Linked DNA regions of Macaca fascicularis. The protein of the gene in region 5 purifies or fractionates together with the protein of the main gene of each other region. This does not show direct contact. Links are inferred from orthologs where the notes say so. Each region holds a gene or a part of one and is shown on either strand. Other genes may lie near its edges. The genes, in order: DDX6, ATXN2L, LSM12, ATXN2 and NUFIP2.

Region 1 (3,815 bases), on a different chromosome or scaffold from region 5:
AACTCCTGACCTCGTGATCCGCCTGCCTCAGCCTCCCAAAATGCTGGGATTACAGGCATGAGCTACCACGCCAAGCCAGAAACACTATGAACTTTTATACAGTGAAGATGGTAGGAAAACTGATGAAATAATCTGTTTTACTGGGACTCGAGAGATAATATTCAACAGCAGAAGCCTACTTCTTACCCTGGAGAAAAGTGTGTTGAGGCAGTGTACTTTTTGGCGCTCAGTTACATATGCGTAGTACTGGGTTACTCCCTTCAGAGTTAGTTCCTCCATCAGGTTAATCTCATAGGGTTTCTGCAAATGGGAATTCTGGGAGGGGAGAAAAAAAAAGATGGTTCTTCTTAAATGAAAGCAGAGTTCATCTCAAATTCAAAATATACCCACCCTATAGGTTTCTGTCTAATCAACTCTTGCTATAAGGGATGCAACTCTCTTCAAAACAAAATATATGATCTGTCATTACAGAATTTTCCCCCCGCTGCCCTGAGATGGAGTCTTGCTATCACCTAGGCTGGAGTGTAGTGGCACCATCTCCACTCACTGCAACCTCCACCTCCTGGGTTCAAGTGATTCTCCTGCCTCAGCCTCCCGAGTAGTTGGGATTACAGGCACACGCTGCCACAACAGACTTATTTTTGTATTTTTAGTAGAGACGGGGGTTTCACCATGTTGCCCATGCTGGTCTCGAACTCCTGACCTTGTGATCTGCCCACCTTGGCCCCCCAAAGTGCTGGGATTACAGGCCTGAGTCACCACGCAAGACACGTTAGAAATAAATTAAGATATAAGATCTCAAAAATGCAGCTAAGTTACTACAGGTTAAGTATTCCTTATCCAAAATGCTCAGGAACAAAAGCGTTTCAGGTTTTAAATTTTTTCTAATTTTGGAATATGCGCATTACACTTAGTGACTGAGCATTCTTAATTTGAAAATTCAAAATCAAAAGAACATTTCCTTTTAGCATCATGTTTGTGGCTCAAAAGGTTTCAAATTCTGCAGTATTTTGGATTTCAGTTTACGATACTCAAACTCTATTTTGTATATAGAATAATACTGGAATCAATTCAGCTAGCACCAATGGCTATGTCATCATGACACCAAAAACTAAGAGAAAAATGAGGAATTTAATTAATTACTATTACAACCTTCTTAAAAAGTCAGTTAATTTATGTAAAACAAATCTTTAATTGATCAACTGAAGAAAGAGCCAAAGGCTTGAAATAATTAGTATAAAGTATTTTCACAGATAGGAAGATGTAATTATGAATAAAAGCATACTCATAGATCATAGGATGGCACTGATTCCAAGTACAGATTTATACTCACCATGAACTTCTGTACACTAAGAGGGAAAGTAGCGGAATATAGTAAAATCTGCCTGTTTTTAGGTAGCGTGAGAATAATATCCTCCATTATCTGCACAAAATCCTGTGACAGCAACTTATCTGCCTGCAGTAGAAAGAAAAGACAATTTTAAAAACAATAAAATAATGTCTAAGGTCTTTGGTTAATACATGGTCAAAGAATAAGGCATCATCCAACAAAAGCATCCATGAAATGTTCCTGGTGGAAAACAATAAATTCTCTCCAACACTGCAGAGTCAAATATGCATAAGGGGGCAGAATCTATGATCCCCATCTTCTAGGGGAAAAAAAAATTCTACACTACACAGATAAACCTCCCCCCTTCTATAACAGAATTTAATTAATTAATTTATTTTTAGAGACAGCATTTCACTCTGTCACCCAGGATGGGATGCAGTGGCATAATCATAGCTTACTGTATGCAGCCTGAACCTCCTGGGCTCAAGTGATCATCTTGCCTCAGCCTACCAACCTACTGAGAAGCTGGGACTACAGGCACATACCACCAAGCCCAGCTCAACAGAATTTTAATGTGATGATTCTCATTAAAGAGGTAGTATTGTATATGTGTTTGAAAGTACAGGTTCTGTCTGTGCACGGTGGCTCACGCCTGTAATCCCAGCACTTTGGGAGGCCGAGGCAGGAGGATCACGAGGTCAAGAGTTCGAGACCAGCCTGACAAACATGGTGAAACCCCATCTCTACTAAATATACAAAAATTAGCAGGGTGTGGTGGATTGCACCTGTAATCCCAGCTACTTGGGAGGCTGGGGCAGAATAATTGCTTGAACCTGGGAAGTGGAGGTTGCAGTGAGCCGAGATCACACCACTGCACTTCAGCCTGGGCAACAAAGCAAGACTCTGTCTCAAAAAAAAGTACAGATTCTGGAGCTAAACTGCCAGGTTGAAATCTTGCCTCCTTCATTTCTTAGCTGTGTGGGAATGTTACAGAACTACTCTGTACTTCAGTTTCCACAACTGTAAAACTGTAAAACTAAAATTTGGATGTTTACATCATGTAGTAACTACTTTACAGGGATTTAGAAAAAACTTGGCTAAGGTCAGGTGTGGTGGCTCACACCTGTAATCCCAGCACACTGGGAGGCTGAGGCGGGCAAAGCATTGAGGTCAGGAGTTCAAAACCAGCCTGACCAACATGGAGAAACCCTGTCTCTACTAAAAATATAAAATTAGCCGGGCATGGTGGCACATGCCTGTAATCCGAGCTACTCGAGAGGCTGAGGCAGGAGAATCGCTTGAACAAGGTTGAGGTTGCGGTTGCGGTGAGCTGAGGTTGTGCCACTGCACTCCAACCTGGGCAAAGAGACTCCGTCTCAAAAAAAAACCAAACCAAACCAAACCAAAACAACAAAAAAGAAAAAACTCGGCTTTCAAGTTATCCAGCCACTCCTCTTCTTAAAAATTAAACCTAAACTCTGGCAAGTGTAAGAAAAAGACAAAAGCTGAATTCCTACGAATGCCTAACTACTGCATCTGAAGTATAAAACATATTTTATAAGCAAATTAAAATCTGGATGTCTACATACTATAGTAACTACTTGACAGGACACCTACCTTATAGGTTTCTTGTAAAGATTAAATGAAAAAAAAAAAAAAAAAAAGTAAAGCACTTAGTGTTGGTACCCAGTGACTAATAAATGTTTTCTCTCATTACTTAAAGATAAAAGCCTGATTTGAATTAAATGTTACCTAAAACACAAACCAGGCCGGGTGTGGTGGCTCACACCTGCAATCCCAGCACTTTGAGAGGCCGAGGCGGGAGGATCACCTGAGGTCAGGAGTTCAAGACTAGCCTGGCCAACACGGCGAAAACCTGCCTCTACTAAAAATACAAAAATTAGCCAAGTGTGGGTAGTACACATCTGTAATCTCAGCTACTCAGGAGGCTGAGGCATGAGGATCACTTGAAGCCGGGAGGCAGAGATTGTAGTGAGCCGAGATCACGCCACTGCACTCCAGTCTGGGTAACAGAGTGAGTCTGTCTCAAAAAAATAGTAATAATAATAAAACACAAACCAAATGTGAAAATAACCTCATGTCAAAACATTAACACTGATACACTACAGATCCTCCTTGACTTACAATGGGATTATGTTCTGATAAATTCATCCTAAGTTGAAAATACTACCCAAACCTACTGAACATCATCACTTAGCCTAGCCTCCTTGAAACATGCTCCACTTAGCTTATAGTTGGGCAAAATCACTTGACAACACCGTATACTGTACAGTATCAGCTGTCTACCCTCAATGATCATGTGGCTGACTGGGAGCTGCAGTTTGCTGCTGATGCCCAGCATCATGGGAATATCATATAGCATATTACTAACCAGGAAAAAAATTAATCTTAAGAATTCAAAGTACGGTTTCTAATAAAAGCTTATCACTTCCACTGAAAAACCATAAAGTGAACCATCGTAAGT
Region 2 (3,815 bases), on a different chromosome or scaffold from region 5:
CACAGTGCCAACAGAACAGAAAACAAGAAAGCAAAGAAAAAAGAGAAACTCTTGAGAATTACAGAAGTGAAATTACAACCCAAGGGCTGACAGACATTGCCTCTGATTTCCAACAAACTTCCTAACTGACATACTCTCCCCTAGATAAAGGAGCATTAACCCTCAGCAGAAAAAAAAAAAAAAAAAAAACAACACACACACCCTCACCTTTCCCAGCTATCCGAGCCAGCTCCTGGGGCTCCAGAGTTCTCCCAGGTTCCTTGGTAGAGAGTTCTTTTACTGTGCAAGGAGAGGGAAATGCCTAAAAATCCTTCTGTCCAGAACCACAAATCACACTAAATATGCATTAATGGCACTCAAACACCTAGCTCTTACCATCTGTGGGGGCCAGGGAGATCTTTGGAGAAGCTGGGGAAATGGAGCCCACTCCAGGATCTGAGACTGATGAGGTCACAGGGATGGAGGCTGAAGAGGTTGGCACTGCCGAGCCGATGGGAGGCTCAGGACAGGAAGCTGAGATTGGGGCAGGGGCAGCAGACTTGGGAGAACGCGGGGGATATATCCGGCCCACTGGAAGAAAAGGGGGAGCTGTAGGACGGTTACTGCTAGTCAACAGCAGTGAATACAAGGGCCTTACTCAAAACAGCAAGAAAGTTTACACACTATACAACCAGAGTCACCAACTTAAGTGTCTAGAAGGCCAAGGCAGGTAACACAACCAGGTAAATGGCCTCATGGGCATCATCGGTGACTGGAATGCTTAAAGGGGTGGCTGGGATTCTGTCCCAGTCAACCTGAGCTATGCAGCAAGGCAAGCTCAGTTGGCAGAACTTCCTGTAATCCAAAAGAAACTAAAATTTTCTATGGCTTCTACTGTTTTATTTATGTAGAGACAGGGTATCGCTCTGTTCCCCAGACTGGAGTACAATGGTATGATGCCATCTCACTGCAACCTCAGCCTCCTGGGCTCAAGCGATTCCCCGCCCCCAGCCTCTCAAGTAGCTGGGAGCACAGGTGCACGCCATCAGGCCTAGCTAATCAATCTTTTTATTTTTTGCAGAAGGGTTTTGCCATGTTGCCCAGGCTGGTCTTGAACTCCTGGGCTCAAGCAATCTGCCTGCCTCAGACTGTTTTAAAAGTTAGCAACTGGCAGGATGTGGTGGCTCATGCCTGTAATCCCAGCACTCTGGGAGGTGCGGTGGGCGGATATTGAGATCAGGAGTTCAAGATCAGCCTGGCCAACATAGTAAAACCCCGCTTCTACTAAACATACAAAAAATTTAGCCAGGCGTGGTGGTGGGCGCCTGTAATCCCAGCTACTCGGGAGGCTGAGGCAGGAGAATCGCTTGAATCCGGGAGGTGGAGGTTGCGGTGAACCAAGATGACGTCACTGCACTCCAGCCCAGGTGACAGTGCGAGACTCCGTCTCAAAAAACAAACAAACCAAAAGAAACCCCAGAAAAGTTAGCAACTGATTCAAATCTAAACAAAGGATGTCTGCCAAACAGACACAACCTATGAATTGCCAGGTTGAGATTTCTGCACTAGGGAAATTAAAGAACTATTTCCCAATATGACTAAATCCCAAACGCCCAAAATATCTATCTTAAAATTATCTCCCATTCCAGCATTTGTAACAACTGGACATATTTATATCTCTTTACAAATTTCCATCCATTTCTTCATCCAACACTACTAAAGCTTTACCTGCAGGAGGAGGTGGAACAGAAGTTTCTCCAGAAGGCCTATTACTGGGTGAAGACAGAGTCTTGGCACCTCTCAGAGGCCGCTGTGCCTTTGGGGACATGCGGGAAGGGCCTGTTTTTTTTTTTTTTTTAAGATGAAGAAAACGTCAGAGGAGGCAGATGACCTATTATATTCCCACCGATGCAGTGTCATTCCAACCCATCCAAACCCCTCCAGTTACCCTCCTACCTCCTCGGCATCCCCTTCCCTGCCCTGCCCCTCAAAGTCACCTCATAACTCACCTCCATTGATACCACGGGCCTCAGAACCTGGGCCAGGACTGCTATTGTCCAGATGGTGAGGGCCACGAGGTGGCAAAGAGCTAAGGCCAGGCCGACCGCCCCGAGAGCTGCTGCATCGAACTCCTCCCCGGGGACCTTCTCGGACTCGCTGAGGCAGAGGGATATACTTCCCCTCCCTGAGGAAAGAGTTCAAATAAGGCCAGGTAGCCACGAAACTCACGTTTTCTTCTTCTTCTAAAGTCTCTCCCTTCTGCCCCCAAACACACATACACTGCCTGGCTCCAGCACTATTCCACTTGAAGATCTGCCCCAGTTTAATGTTCTATGGCTACAGACTTATGACCTTATGTGACATCAACTCTGAGCCAACCAACCTGGCCAATGCTCCACAATTCTACAACTCCTGACCTATGACAAAGTTAGGATCACACCATAGTTTCAAGGACAGTTTTTGTAAAACACAAGGAATCCAGTTACATTTCACTTTTATAAGAAAAAATAGCACATATATAAAAATGAATACAGAGAAAAAGAGAACGTAAACCAAAATTTTGAAACTTTAAACCACAGCACCCATCAATTCTGGGCCCAGGCCCCAGGACACTCCCAGAAGCCCCAAATAGTCCTGGCTGTTCACGACAGTCACCTGGATGCCAAGCTGGGGCTCTCCCGACCCGAACCCTGCCGCTGGACCGCACTGTGCTTCTCCTCTTCAGTGCGCCCATCATCGTTCTCCATGGCGATCCGCAGGCGGTACTGGGGGCTTGATTCAATCTCTCGAGCCAACTGGGCTGCACGCAGCTCTCGCTGACGAAATTCTTCTGAGTTGTCCTTTTCTAAGGGCACCCTGAGACAGCACCCACAGACCACCACCATCCCAGTGCCAGGGGACAAAAGAGGAAAAAAGAAAAAACACTTCAACAACTCCAATCACCAGTTCAGGCATGTAAGTATTTAATCCTTTCTTTTTTTTTTTTTTGAGACAAGTGTCTCGCTCTGTCGCCCAGGCTAGAGTGCAGTGGCACGATCTCGGCTCACTGCAAGCTCTGACTCCCGGGTTCACGCCATTTTCCTGCCTCAGCCTCCCGAGTAGCTGGGACTATAGGCGCCCGCCACCACACCTGGCTAATTTTTTTGTCTTTTTAGTAGAGACGGGTTTTCACCATGTTAGCCAGGATGGTCTCGATCTCCTGACCTCGTGATTCACCCGCCTTGGCCTCCCAAAGTGCTGGGATTACAAGCATGAGCCACCACGCCCGGCCAGTATTTAATCCTTTCAACTCAACATCTGGGTAACGGGCACCGACTGCGTCCCAGGTAGAGCACCAGTCCTAGGTAGAGCACCAAGGCTTATCTGGGAATGTCAGGAGCACTTACGTGCTTAAAACCTTTGAGGGAGGCTGGGTGTGGTAGCTCACGCCTGTAATCCCAGCACTCTGGGAGGCCGAGGTGGGCGAATCACTAGGTAAGATCAAGACCATCCTGGCTAACACGGTGAAACCCCGTCTCTACTACAAATACAAAAAAATCAGCCAGGTGTGGTGGCAGGCGCCTGTAGTCCCAGCTACTCAGGAGGCTGAGGCAGGAGAATGGAGTGAACCTGGGAGGCGGAGCTTGCAGTGAGCCGAGACTGCGCCACTGCACTTCAGCATGGGCTACACAGCGAGACTCCATCTCAAAAACAAAACAAAACAAAACAAAACAAAACCTTTGAGGGAATAGTTCCACAAGGTAGAGTAAGTAGGAGCAGGGACGGTGACCCTGGACACCCAGAGAAAAAGGAGCAAAAACTATGTTCTCCTGGAAACCTGTCTTCACTTAGTGACC
Region 3 (3,763 bases), about 30 Mb from region 5:
GTGGTCTGTGAAGGTGTAGTATGTATTAATTTTTAAACTGGAGGCTCTAGCACAACAGCTCATAAACATTCCTTATTTTCATCTTGAAATGGAAATTGCACGTGTGTGTGTGTGTGTGTGTGTGTGTTGTGTATATGTATATATATATATATATTTTTTTAAGAGACAGAGTCTCGCTGCTTTGCCCAGGCTGGAGTACTGTAGCATGACCTCGGCTCACTGCAACGTCTGCCTGCTGGGTTCAAGTGATTCTGCTGCCTCAGCCTTCTGAGTAGCTGAGATTAAAGGCGTGCACCACCATGCCCGGCTAATTTTTGTAATTTTAGTAGAGATGGAGTTTCACCATGTTGGCCAGCCTGGTCTCGAACTCCCAACCTCAGTGATACAGCCAGTTAAAAGTGTGTGTGTGTGTGTGTGTGTGTGTGTGAATATATATACATATATATATATATATTTTTTTTTGAGACGGAGTCTTGCTCTGTCACCCAGGCTAGAGTGCAGTGGCACAATCTCGGCTCCCTGCAACCATCTCCTCCTGGGTTCAAGCAGTTCTCTGCCTCAGCCTCCCAAGTAGCTGGAATTATAGGAGCCCCCCACCACGCCTGGCTAATTTTTTTTTTTTTTTTTTTTTGTATTTTTAATAGAAACAGGGTTTCAACCATCTTGGCCAGGCTGGTCTTGAGCTCCTGACCATGTGATCCACCTGCCTCGGCCTCCCAAAGTGCTTGGATTACAAGCATGAGCCACCACCCCTGGTCGGAAATGTATATAGTTTTAAATCTCTCACCATCATTTGCCATCACATAGTCCCCCAGCCACACTCTATAATTTTAAAAGTGCTTTATTTTCTTCCTAGTGCTTATCACTGTCTGAAATTACCTTGTTTTCAGTTACTTTTTTATAGTTTGTCTCCCCCACCCACTTCAGGCTGTATTTAGCCTAGCATAGTGAATGTCTGGCACATGGTAGGTATGCAGTAAGTATTAGAAGGAAGGAAGGAACATTTTCTTGGAATACCGGTAACTGTTCAGGTATGTTGTGGGTTTTTTAAATTTGTTTCACTTTTCATTTCTGAGAAAACAGAAATCTGTCCAAACCAGTCTTTCCTGGCCTCCTTTCTTCAGCTTAGGTCCTGACTGTTGGGAAGAATGAAGATGAATCCTATTCTGAGTCTCTTTCCTCTCTTCCACCCTAGCTTGCCAGCAAAGCACGGACAGAGAAGGAGGAGAAGCTGAGCCAGGCCTATGCAATCAGTGCTGGTGTCTCTCTAGAGGGCCAGCAGCTCTTCCAGACCATTCACAAGACGTGAGTTGGGGGATCGGAGAGGTCTTTTGTCCTGGGGTAATGCTACCTGGTTGTGCTGTCTGGTGGCAGGCTTTTGGGTGGTTGTCTCCTAAAAGTCTACTGGGGAAGCTGGTAGGGTATTGGCAAAATGCCGGCATCCAGAGCTGCGGGTACTGTAGCCCCGTTTCCACACAGAAAAATAGTGTAATCACAGACAAGTTGTCTTCTCTGGTCTTCAGTTTCTTGTCTGTAAAACTTAGTTTTGGATTATATCACTTTTCCCAATGTAGATTGGGATGAACACGGAGTTAGAGCAGGTCACCTTCTTACCACCTCTTAAAAGACATTTTGTTGGTCAGGTGCGGTGGCTCACGCCTGTAATCCCAGCACTTTGGGAGGCTGAGGCGACAAATCACCTGAGGTCGGGAGTTCCAGAGCAGCCTGACCAACATGGTGAAACCCCCATCTCTACTAAACATACAAAATTAGCCAGGCGTGGTGGTGCGTGCCTGTAATCCCAGCTACTCGGGAGGCTGAGGCAGGAGATTTGCTTGAACCCTAGAGGTGGAGGTTGCAATGAGCCAAGATCGTGCCACTGCACTCCAGCCTGGGCAACAAGAGCAAAACTCTGTCTCAAAAAAAAAAAAAAAAAGACATTTTGTCACAGCAGAAGTCATTTGACTCTCCACTAGCTTCCCTAGCTGCTGAAAAACTGGAACATTTGACACCCCTCTCCACCCCCGCTCCCCACCCCACACTGCCTTCTGTTACTCTGTTTAACCACCCTGGATCTGGTGCACAGATGGCAGCTGGCATCAGAGCTGTTTGAGGCCGTGGTGTGAGTATCTGAACATTTACAGGTATGTGAAGGAACTCTCAGTCGCATCAGCTGCCCTGGGGCTTCCCAAGTGTGAACTGGAATGGGTTTTCCCAGTCTGGCAAGTGCCCAACTGTCTGATAATTGAGAAGAGCCAGTCTGAAGAGCAGCTCCCATTATGGGTGATAGGGTCAGAGAAGATGGGGAGTTTGTTCTCTTTTTTTTTTTTTTTTTGGAGTCAGAGTCTCACTCTGTTGCCAGGCTGGAGTCCAGTGGTTCAATCTTGGCTCACTGCAATCTCTGCCTCCCAAGTTCAAGCAGTTCTCCTGCTTTACCCCCCGGAGTAAGTGGGACTACAGGCGTGCAGCCTCACGCACAGCTAATTTTTGTATTTTTAGTAGAGACAGCGTTTCATCATGTTGGCCAGGATGGTCTCGATCTCCTGACCTCATGGTCCGCCCTCTTTGGCCTCCCAAAGTGCTGGGATTACAGGCGTGAGCCACCACGCCCGGCCTCTCTTTTTTTTTGATACAGGGTCTCACTTTTATCGCCTAGGTTGAAGTGCAGTGGTGCAATTTTAGCTTACTGTAGTCTCGATCTCCCCGGCTCAGGTGATTCTCCCACCTCAGCCTCTGGAGTAACTGGGACTACAGACGCATACCACCACTACTGGCTAATTTTTTGTATGTATTTTTAGTAGAGATGAGTTTTTGCCATGTTGCCCAGGCTGGTCTCCAACTCCTGGACTCAAGCAGTCTACCCGCCTCAGCCTCCCAAAGTGCTGAGATTACAGGTGTGAGCCACCACGCCCAGCCTGTTCTCCTGTCTTTCTAAAGGTGGTGTTTCTCCCTAGGCCAATGGTTGGCAAACTATGCCAGCACACCAGATCTGCTCCTCTGTTTTACCTATTGTCCATGGCTACTTTTGCACAACTGTGGCAGAACTCAGTGCTAGTTGTAACAGACGATATGGCCTGCAAAGCCTAAAATGTTTGTTAAGAGATCCTTAAGAGAAAAAGTTTGCCAGCCTCTGCCCTAGGCTACTATCTTAGTTTGGATTCTTGAGGCTACCATCACATTTTTATGACTCTCCAGGTCTCTTATGCTTCAGAGTAACAATTTCTGGGCTCTCCCAAGAATAAATGTGCATGAGTTTCATTGCTTTTCTAGCCAGTGGCACCCAAGGAATGTTTCTTGGCTACTATATGGGCTGCTGGTGTCTAGTTGTTGGCTGAGTGGTGAGCTGGGAACTTGGGATCAGCCGTCTGGAGTTATTTATTCATCAGACAGGAGATGTGGGATGCCCCCAAGAGGTTACATTTCGCCTGCTGTCTTCTCCTTCCAGCATTAAAGACTGTAAATGGCAAGAAAAAAACATCGTAGTCATGGAAGAAGTTGTTATTACACCCCCATATCAAGTGGAAAACTGTAAAGGCAAAGAGGGGAGTGCACTGAGCCATGTACGCAAAATAGTAAGTAAAGGAGCCTTGAAACTTTAGGGGAGAGAGGATGGTTCCTCGGGCCTTCAATCTTTAGCACCAGAGCAGGACATTGTGCTACAGTCTCTGCCTCCTGTAGCATCACTGTCTGGCCTCCCTGCACTGTGGGGCTCTGCAGCTATGGCTTGGCTACTCCTGTGGGAATGGAACCACTGGGTGATATG
Region 4 (3,815 bases), on a different chromosome or scaffold from region 5:
AATAACCTCAAAGAAAGTAATAAACCTACCTGAGAGAAGGAACGTGGGTTGAACTCCTTTGCATTAGGATTCAATGTTGATTTCCTAACTTGCCTAAAAAAAAAAAAAAAGGCCAGTGAAATCTACATGGACTTTAGGTTGTTCTAAAATCTTCCATACCTGACAATTTAAAAAAAACTGCTAGGCCGGGCGCGGTGGCTCAAGCCTGTAATCCCAGCACTTTGGGAGGCCGAGACGGGCGGATCACAAGGTCAGGAGATTGAGGCCATCCTGGCTAACACGGTGAAACCCCGTCTCTACTAAAAATACAAAAAACTAGCCGAGCGTGGTGGTGGCGCCTGTAGTCCCAGCTACTCGGGAGGCTGAGGCAGGAGAATGGCGTGAACCCGGGAGCCGGAGCTTGCAGTGAGCCGAGATCGCACCACTGCACTCCAACCTGGGCGACAGGGCGAGACTCCGTCTCAAGAAAAAAAAAGAAACACTGCTAAACATAGATTTAAACTGTTCTCACTAGAAGATCACTAATCCTCTTTATTGAAACATACGCACTTATATTGCCAATTCCTTAATCCCTTAAAGAATATAGTCATAAAAGAACAATTTTTTAAAAATCTGAGTAATATACAACTGCTCCTCTCAAAGGCAATCAAAAAATACTTTATTTTCTCCTTCAGAGTCCCACTCTGTTGCTCAGGCTGGAGCGCAGCAGTGCAATCTTGGCTCACTGTAACCTCTGCCTCCCCAGTTCAAGCAATTCACCTACCTGAGTCTCCTGAGTAGCTGAGATTACAGGCGACTGCCACCACACCCAGCTAATTTTTTTTTTTTTTTTTTCCCCAGTAGAGATGGGGTTTCACCATCTTGGCCAGGCTGACCTTAAGTGATCTGCCTGAGTCAGCCTCCCAAAGTGCTGGGATTACAGGCGTGAGCCACCACGCCTGGCCAATCAACAAACACTTGAGCTGAAAAGACAGTAGCTACTTATAAAATATCCTTAAAAGCACTTCTTAACATACCAGTATTCTTTTATTATTATTACTTTTTGAGACAGAGTCTCGCTCTGTCACCCAGGCTGGAGTGCAGTGGCATGATCTCGGCTCACTGCAGCCTCCACCTTCCGGGTTCAAGCAATTCTCCTGCCTCAGCCTCCTGAGTAGCTGGGATTATAGGCACCTACCACCATGACTGGCTAATTTTTGTATTTTTAGTAGAGACAGGGTTTCACCATGTTGGCCAGGCTGGTCTTCAACTCCTAACCTCAAGTAATCTACCTGCTTCGGCCTCCCAGAGTGCTGGGATTATAGGTGTGAGCCACCAGTCAACATACCAATATTCTAGCATGAAGTAATTTTTATGTGAGAAGATATTATCTACATAACATACCTGCAGAAAATCATGGCTCTAAAAAAAATTTGCCTCAAATCAAGAATAAGCAGTCCCCAATTTATCAATAAGCTACATTCCAAAACTTTAGCTTTAACTGGATTGTTTGGTACCCAGAACACCTAAGTCAATGGTAGTTAAGTTCTGAGGTTAGCCCCTGAAAGTCCATTTAACAAATATATGGAATGTGCAGAATTAAGTCTATTTTAACAAATCTAAACATTAACTAAAACACTGTTTCTGATGAAAAATATTTTGAATTCCAAGTAGAAGCATCGCATGCTTCTCTCCTTGACAGTGGCAGTTTTTCATCCTAGCAGCACAGTGAGGGTGACTAATGAGTGGAATCCAGTAAAGATAGGTCTCCTGAACTGATAATTTTTCAACTCCTGTTCATTTACAGAAAAACTTTTCTTAATTTATGCCTTGTTTTTCTAGCCCTGGGGTGCAAAAAAGGGGAAGAACAGAAGAGTAGCACAGGGTGCAATAACCTAATTTACTTAAGATGTCATTTGTTTGGACTAGCTGTTTGTAAACTAAGGGCAATGTATGAAGCAGTCTAAAAGTCCAGATGGATTCTTCACAGTTGGAAGGACCTAAATGCCTTTAAAAAAAAAAAAAAAAAAGTTAACTGAGTAACAGGATGGTCTAAGTTCCAGGTTTACTCACTCAGCTGCGTCTTTCTTCTCTTCCTTATCATCTTTCTCTTGTTTACATGCTGGACTGGAAGTCTGAACCCCTTGGGAAGTGACCTCAGGTCCCCTCTTGTGCTCCGTGTTACTAAGTATTGAAGGGGAAATGCTGGGGCTATTCGGCTTGCTGCTGCCACTGGTACAGTTGCTGCTGCTATTTTCAGTGAAAGAATCCTTAGCACTTGGTTCAATTTTGTCTTTGATCAAATCTCTTGATTTTTCTGCCTCTCTATTTTTGTTTAGTAGTTGATCCATAGATTCAGAAGTAGAACTTGGCTGTAACTAAATAAAGGAAACAATTATACTTAAATATCTTAAATAACTTTAGTAATCCATTTTTGCCATGAGCACAAGCAAAGTAATATTAACTATATGCATGAAATGTTTTGAATTAAGGCTTTTTTCATACTTTAAGAGTAATGCTTTTACTATAAAGTAACAATAACAGAATACCTATATAGCACAACCAGTTACCAAAGCACTCAAATGTCTTAGCCTCTAAAGTTCAATATTTACTGAATGCCTACCACATGTCAGAAATTGTGCTTGCTGGGTGAGAAAAATATGAAAAAATTTCTATCCTCCTATACTTGTCATCTAAATAAGATCAGACACTTCACAACAAAATGAGTAAATGCTAAGAGATTCTATAGAAAAAACAACCTATAAAAAAGAAAGGTTTCTTAATGGAAGTTTCAGCTAGTCTAAGGTGTGAAAGAAGTTTAGGAGAGGTGTTTGGGATGGAGAATAGTCTAAGTAAAAGGAGGAATATGTTTAAAAATCCAAAGAAAAGAGAGAAGATGGCTCTATCACATAAAAGAATAGCACCAATGGGGGCTGGGCGCAGTGGCTCATGCCTGTAATCCCAGCACTTTGGGAGGCTGAGGCAGGCAGATCACGAGGTCAGGAGATCGAGACCATCCTGGCTAACACGGTGAAACCCCGTCTCTACTAAAAATACAAAAATTAGCCGGGCATGGCGGCGGACGCCTGTAGTCCCAGCTACTCGGGAGGCTGAGGTAGGAGAATGGTGTGAGCATGGGAGGCAGAGCTTGCAGTGAGCCGAGATCACGCCACTGCACTCCAGACTGGGTGACAGAACGAGACTCCGTCTCGGAAAAAAAAAAAAAAGTAAAAGGATAGCACCAATGACCCAGGCACAGTGGCTCATCACTGTAATTCCAGCACTTTGGGAGGCTGAGGCAAGCAGACTGCTTGAGCTCAGGAGTTCAAGACCAGCCTGAGCAACATAGTGATACCCTGTTCTCATTAAAAAATAATAATGATAATAAAATAAAATAAATAACAAAAATAAAGAAGTAAAGCAAAGCACCAATGGCTGGACCAAGGGTGGGACACACATGTACAAGTGAGTCAGAAAATGATAGACTTGCCAAAAGGAATATGACAATAAAGGAACTTAAAAGCTATGTTCAGGGCTGTGTGCAGTGGCTAACACCTATAATCCTAGCATTTTGGGAAGCCACGGCAGGTGGAAACACTTGAGGTCAGGAGTTTCAGACCAGCCTGGCCAACATGGTGAAACTCTGTCTCTACTAAAGATAAAAAAAAAATTAGCCAGGCATGGTGGCGCACACGTGTAAATCCCAGCTACTTGGCTGACGTATGAGAATCGCTTGAACCCAGGAGGCGGAGGTTGCAGTGAGCCAAGATCACACCACTGCACTCCAGCCTGGGTGACAGAGCAAGACTCCATCTAAAAATTAAAAAAAAAAAAAA
Region 5 (4,464 bases):
TAGGGCTGCTTATACATACTAATCCTACTTCCAAAAGACTCAGCAAAACTTGAGTCCTGATAAATCTAGCTTTTCAATTAGAAACAAATTACTCAACACATTTGGCCTTCTCTTGCGCCCTCTTCTGGATAAACAAAAAAAACTGTTCCTCTTTAGGTTTGTGAGTAATGGGTTACAAAAGCCTACCTCAACATGTTACAGATAAATTTCAAAAATATTGTAATGTTTTCTTAGTTATTAGCATAATGCATGTCAAAGCAACAGTACTGTGACCAAACCATACACTCGCCCCAAATTGTTTATACTCTGTCAAAACTCCTAATTCCAGTTTCCTCCTCTTTATCCACGTCTTCCGAGATAAGAAATATTTGGAGGAATACCACCTTGAATGGTTTAGGGGCTGCTTCTACATGTAGAGAGAAGTCTTGCAAGAGTATATTTACCTGACCGATGAAATACAATTTTTCAGTCTCAACAGTAATATTGCCTTATGCAGCCATAATACGGTAGTATTTTCTCATCTTTTGAACAAGATCTAACGCTAAAAAAATCTAGTTATGTAGTCCCTAACAGTTTTTAAACTGCTCTAAATCTTTAGGATTAAACACCTAACTCGTGTGTTACGTGTTCACTTCTGTTGCATACCATCGGGTCCCTAACGAACTCCCAAAATGGAAAATCTGACACTCTAATTTCAGTCTTCAAGTTACAATCTGCAATTTAAAAAGCACTTAGTTTTTCTCCAGCTCTCAACAATTCCTTCTATCAAATTTGATACGCTGGGTTTAACATACGCTTTATGCTTCCTTTCTCTTCGATTTATATAGAGCCCTTATTTTTCAAAATATGCGAGGGTTATAAACTTTTAAACTTACTTCTCGTGAAATACTTTCTTACATGACTTTTACCCTCAATTTCTCGTTTGTTAATATTAGTTTGGGGATCAATATCGACTTTAAAATACGAAAAAACACCTTTCTTTTTAACATGGAGAGAAGCCTCATCCGAGGCAAGATGGTAGTAATCTAACCTCATGGATGAGCCACTTGGGTTCACCCTTAAGGACAAGAAAGGGGGTCAAAAAGCTCGCCCTGTTCCTCATCCTAACATTTTAAAAAATCTCTCACCTCAAAGACACTACCCAAGCTCAGAAGGTAAGTGCCGGCTGGGGAGGGGAATGGAACAAGGTTTTTGTTAATTTTTTTTTTTTTTTTTTTTTTTTTTTTTGTAGAAAATGAGCTGCTAGAAGGAAAAGGCCCAAGTGAAAGCCTCAGAGGCGGAGTCGTGAGCGAACCTGGCAGGAGACGAGGTTCCTGTGGCAGAGAAACTCGTGACCGGGGAGCTGGGTTCCCGCTGGGTACCCCACCCGGCCTCAGGCACCGCCTCTACCCAAAATGAATCCCCCCGCCGCCCCCCCAGGCCTCCTGCCCCTAGGAGCGCCGCGGCCGCCGCCGCCGCCCGCGGCCTCCTTCCCCCTCAGCTCCGCTTCGAGGCCGGCTCCCCGCCCCGACTGCCCGCGCCTCCCGCCGCACCCGGGAGCGGGAAACGCGGCCGCTGGCGCGCGGGGCCCTGCGCAGGCCGCTCCCCTCGTGGCCGCTTCCCTCCCCCACCCCAACCGCCCCCGCCCCTCACCCCAGGGACCCGCCCGGGGCCTCGCGCCGCCACCGGGTTACACAACCCCGGCCGGTGACGGGGGAGGGGCGGCCGCGGAGCGGGGGGCGGCGGCGCCCCCGCAGTGCAGGGGGCGAGGCGGCGGCCGGTGGTGATCCCAGGTCACCCAGCTCCGACGCGCCGTGTGGCCCTCGACACCCTTCCCCCCCGCTCCTCAGTGGGCCGGAGTCGGTGACAGGAATCGGCTTCCAACATGGCGGACAGGAAGCGGCCCCGCGAGGAGGAGAGAACATTCCAGCCGCGCCGGCTCTGGGGGGAGCGGGCCCGGGGCACCAGCCTTGGGAGGAGCCGCGGGACAAGACTGCGGGGTCCGGCGCCCAAAAAAGGCGTCTAGTGGTGGAAACGACCCGTGAGATGAGGGGTCCCAACAGCCCCCCCAACAAGATGGGGAGCCCCAAGGCCACAGGTGGGCTTGGGGTGGCGGGTGAGGGGCACTTCCTCAACTCAGCCTACCTACCCACCCCTGGCCGCCTGCAAAAGGGTCTCGCGACACCATCCGAGGCGGGATTCGCTAGGCCTTCCTGAGTTACACCTCGAGGGATTTTTTTGGGGGGTAGGTTTACCCCATCTCAGGGCCCCCATATTGAGGTAACTCCAGGGACGCAGAGAGGTGAATGGAAAAGAATAACGAGGTTGGACTTGCAAGGCCGACCCAGTGGGTCTCCCTTCAGCCGGGGCGGGGGCCGGGAAGGTCACGCTGGCCTGGCTGGGCCTCTCCCATGCTGGAGGGAAGGAGGGCGCTGCAAACCCCATTGCTCAGCCCGAGCCCTAGAATGAAAGGGGCATCCCCAGAGCCGGAGGGCACACACACACACACACATCCCGACCCCGTCCGCGCTTCTCGGATCCAGCCCCACCCCCATCTCCCCTGTCCTCCACCCCCAACCCCCTTCCCCCACCCGTCCTCCCTCCCAGACCTGTTTTCTTCTTCGGCGTTTCCTGGTGCTGCTGGAGGGTGTGTTTCTGCTCATGTTTCAGCGGCTTTGGCTGGGCCTTGGGGCTGCCCTCGGCTCCATGCTGCAGGTATTGGTGAGGCTGCTGGTGATGATGGTGGTGGTGGTGGTTGTGGCTGTGGTTGTAGAAATAATAATGGTGGTGGTGGTGCGGCTGCTGCTGCTGCTGCTGAGGGTGATGGTGCGGATGGTGGTGGCTGTGATGGTGCTGAGGCTGTGGCTGGCCGGGCTTCTCCTCCATTGAAAGCGGCTGGGACTCCCTGGCTGAGGCTGCGGGCTGCTGCACCGTCAGGATCTGAGACTGCTTCTCAGGGCTCACTCAGTATATCTGAGCGCGTCTCGCCAGCGCACTGGTTAACCGAGCGATTCTGCGAGATTGGCAGCCGCGCTCCAACAATCAGGAGCCACGCTGTACCGCAAGCCCCGCCCCCAGCTCAAATCCTCTTTCCTTCCCCTTCGCCGCTGCCGCCTGGCCAACGCCACTTACCCTGTGCAACCTCACAGGGCCGGGCCTTCAACGTCAGCACTATGGCTCTCTCTTCTGTCGCTTTCTCTCCTTCACCACGCAGTCTGCGAACAGCACTTTCTACACTCCTCGCCGGCAAGCAAGCTCATGTCGAGGGTAGCAGATTCCACTGGCGATTCCACTGGCGCTGGGAGCCATCTGTTGGTTTTGCACCTATTAGAATCTGGTGGTTTTTTTGTTTTTTGTTGTTTTTTGTTGTTAATCCTTTTCCGGGTAACCAGAAAGGGAAGCTCAATTCCCTTAACCCTAAGACCACTAAAGGGGCAATACAAAAAGAGGAAATAAATACATTTTTAAGAATACAAGAGCTTCACAATCCAGTAGATCATTTTGTATTCTGGATTCATTTTGCTTTGTATTCATATGCTAATCTCTTCCTTTCCACGAAGGGATTATAGGGTTCCACAATGGGGTATCTGTGTAATTTTCTAAAAGGGCACAAAGGGTTTAAATCATTGTTTCTTTGTAGTTGGAGGCAAGGGGGAGCGGGAGGAATGAAAATCTACACTGAAGGTTGTGGGTTTTTTTTTTTTTTTAATTAAACTGCAGGTGAGGTCAACTATGGCACCAAAATAGGTTTTAGAATATGAAGTTTCAAGAGCAAAGGAAGGGGAGAAAGAGCATTTAAAAGTTATTAAGTGGGATTTTTTTTGCACTTATGGAAAAAATGAAATTTAAAGAAATATTCTGTAGCGTGTTGTAGTGTAGATTTAACTTATCCTGCATTACCACATCACAGTATGATTTTCAAAAGCAAATGTTAGAGCCATGATAGTGCTTACTCAGGAAAAGAGGGTTGTGATGGGGAGGGACACAGGTTACTGATAATATTTCATTTTGGGGGCTAGGTGGTGATTATACATATATTTGGTGGTGATTATTTGTTAAACAATATACAGGTAAAATGTACTTTTCTCAATGTATGTTATAGATTGGGGGATTTTTTAAATTGTAAAATATTCATAATATAAAACTTACCATCTTAATATTAAGTGTACAGTTCAGGAGCATTAGGTACATTCATATTGTTGTAGAACCATGACCATCATCCATCTCCAGAACTTTTTCATCATTCCAAACTGAAACTTCATACCCAATAAAAATACTGTCCTTTCCCTCCTCCTTCTATCCCTTGATAACCACTGTTCTGTTTTCTGTCTCTACTAATTTGACTATTCTAGGTACCTCATTTAAGTGGGATTGTACCGTATTTGTCTTTTTGTGACTAGCGTTTTTGCGTAATGTCTTCAGAGTAGCATATATCAGAATTTCCCTCTTTTTTAAGGCTGACTAATATTCCATTATATGTATATA

The links.
Region 1: the proteins of NUFIP2 (region 5) and DDX6 purify together in Homo sapiens (affinity purification with mass spectrometry; 6 studies listed by BioGRID and IntAct, counting the BioPlex papers as one, with this or other methods). This does not show direct contact. The link is inferred for Macaca fascicularis from reciprocal best matches to the Homo sapiens genes NUFIP2 and DDX6.
Region 2: the proteins of NUFIP2 (region 5) and ATXN2L purify together in Homo sapiens (affinity purification with mass spectrometry; 4 studies listed by BioGRID and IntAct, counting the BioPlex papers as one, with this or other methods). This does not show direct contact. The link is inferred for Macaca fascicularis from reciprocal best matches to the Homo sapiens genes NUFIP2 and ATXN2L.
Region 3: the proteins of NUFIP2 (region 5) and LSM12 purify together in Homo sapiens (affinity purification with mass spectrometry; 3 studies listed by BioGRID and IntAct, counting the BioPlex papers as one, with this or other methods). This does not show direct contact. The link is inferred for Macaca fascicularis from reciprocal best matches to the Homo sapiens genes NUFIP2 and LSM12.
Region 4: the proteins of NUFIP2 (region 5) and ATXN2 purify together in Homo sapiens (affinity purification with mass spectrometry; 3 studies listed by BioGRID and IntAct, counting the BioPlex papers as one, with this or other methods). This does not show direct contact. The link is inferred for Macaca fascicularis from reciprocal best matches to the Homo sapiens genes NUFIP2 and ATXN2.

What each region holds. Positions count from the first base shown.
Region 1 is NC_088388.1:117,622,676-117,626,490, forward strand, and holds part of DDX6 (probable ATP-dependent RNA helicase DDX6), read right to left. Parts: intron 1,457-3,815; coding exon 1,334-1,456; intron 316-1,333; coding exon 187-315; intron 1-186.
Region 2 is NC_088394.1:27,641,663-27,645,477, forward strand, and holds part of ATXN2L (ataxin-2-like protein), read right to left. Parts: intron 2,836-3,815; coding exon 2,635-2,835; intron 2,165-2,634; coding exon 1,989-2,164; intron 1,819-1,988; coding exon 1,708-1,818; intron 589-1,707; coding exon 376-588; intron 280-375; coding exon 208-279; intron 1-207. UniProt on the Homo sapiens protein: Involved in the regulation of stress granule and P-body formation.
Region 3 is NC_088390.1:65,081,545-65,085,307, reverse strand, and holds part of LSM12 (protein LSM12), read left to right. Parts: intron 1-1,195; coding exon 1,196-1,305; intron 1,306-3,445; coding exon 3,446-3,572; intron 3,573-3,763. UniProt on the Homo sapiens protein: Nicotinic acid adenine dinucleotide phosphate (NAADP) binding protein. Confers NAADP sensitivity to the two pore channel complex (TPCs) by acting as TPC accessory protein necessary for NAADP-evoked Ca(2+) release.
Region 4 is NC_088385.1:118,383,099-118,386,913, forward strand, and holds part of ATXN2 (ataxin-2), read right to left. Parts: intron 2,358-3,815; coding exon 2,053-2,357; intron 94-2,052; coding exon 30-93; intron 1-29. UniProt on the Homo sapiens protein: Involved in EGFR trafficking, acting as negative regulator of endocytic EGFR internalization at the plasma membrane.
Region 5 is NC_088390.1:34,779,720-34,784,183, forward strand, and holds the start of NUFIP2 (FMR1-interacting protein NUFIP2), read right to left. Parts: upstream 2,955-4,464; 5' UTR 2,866-2,954; coding exon 2,589-2,865; intron 1-2,588. UniProt on the Homo sapiens protein: Binds RNA.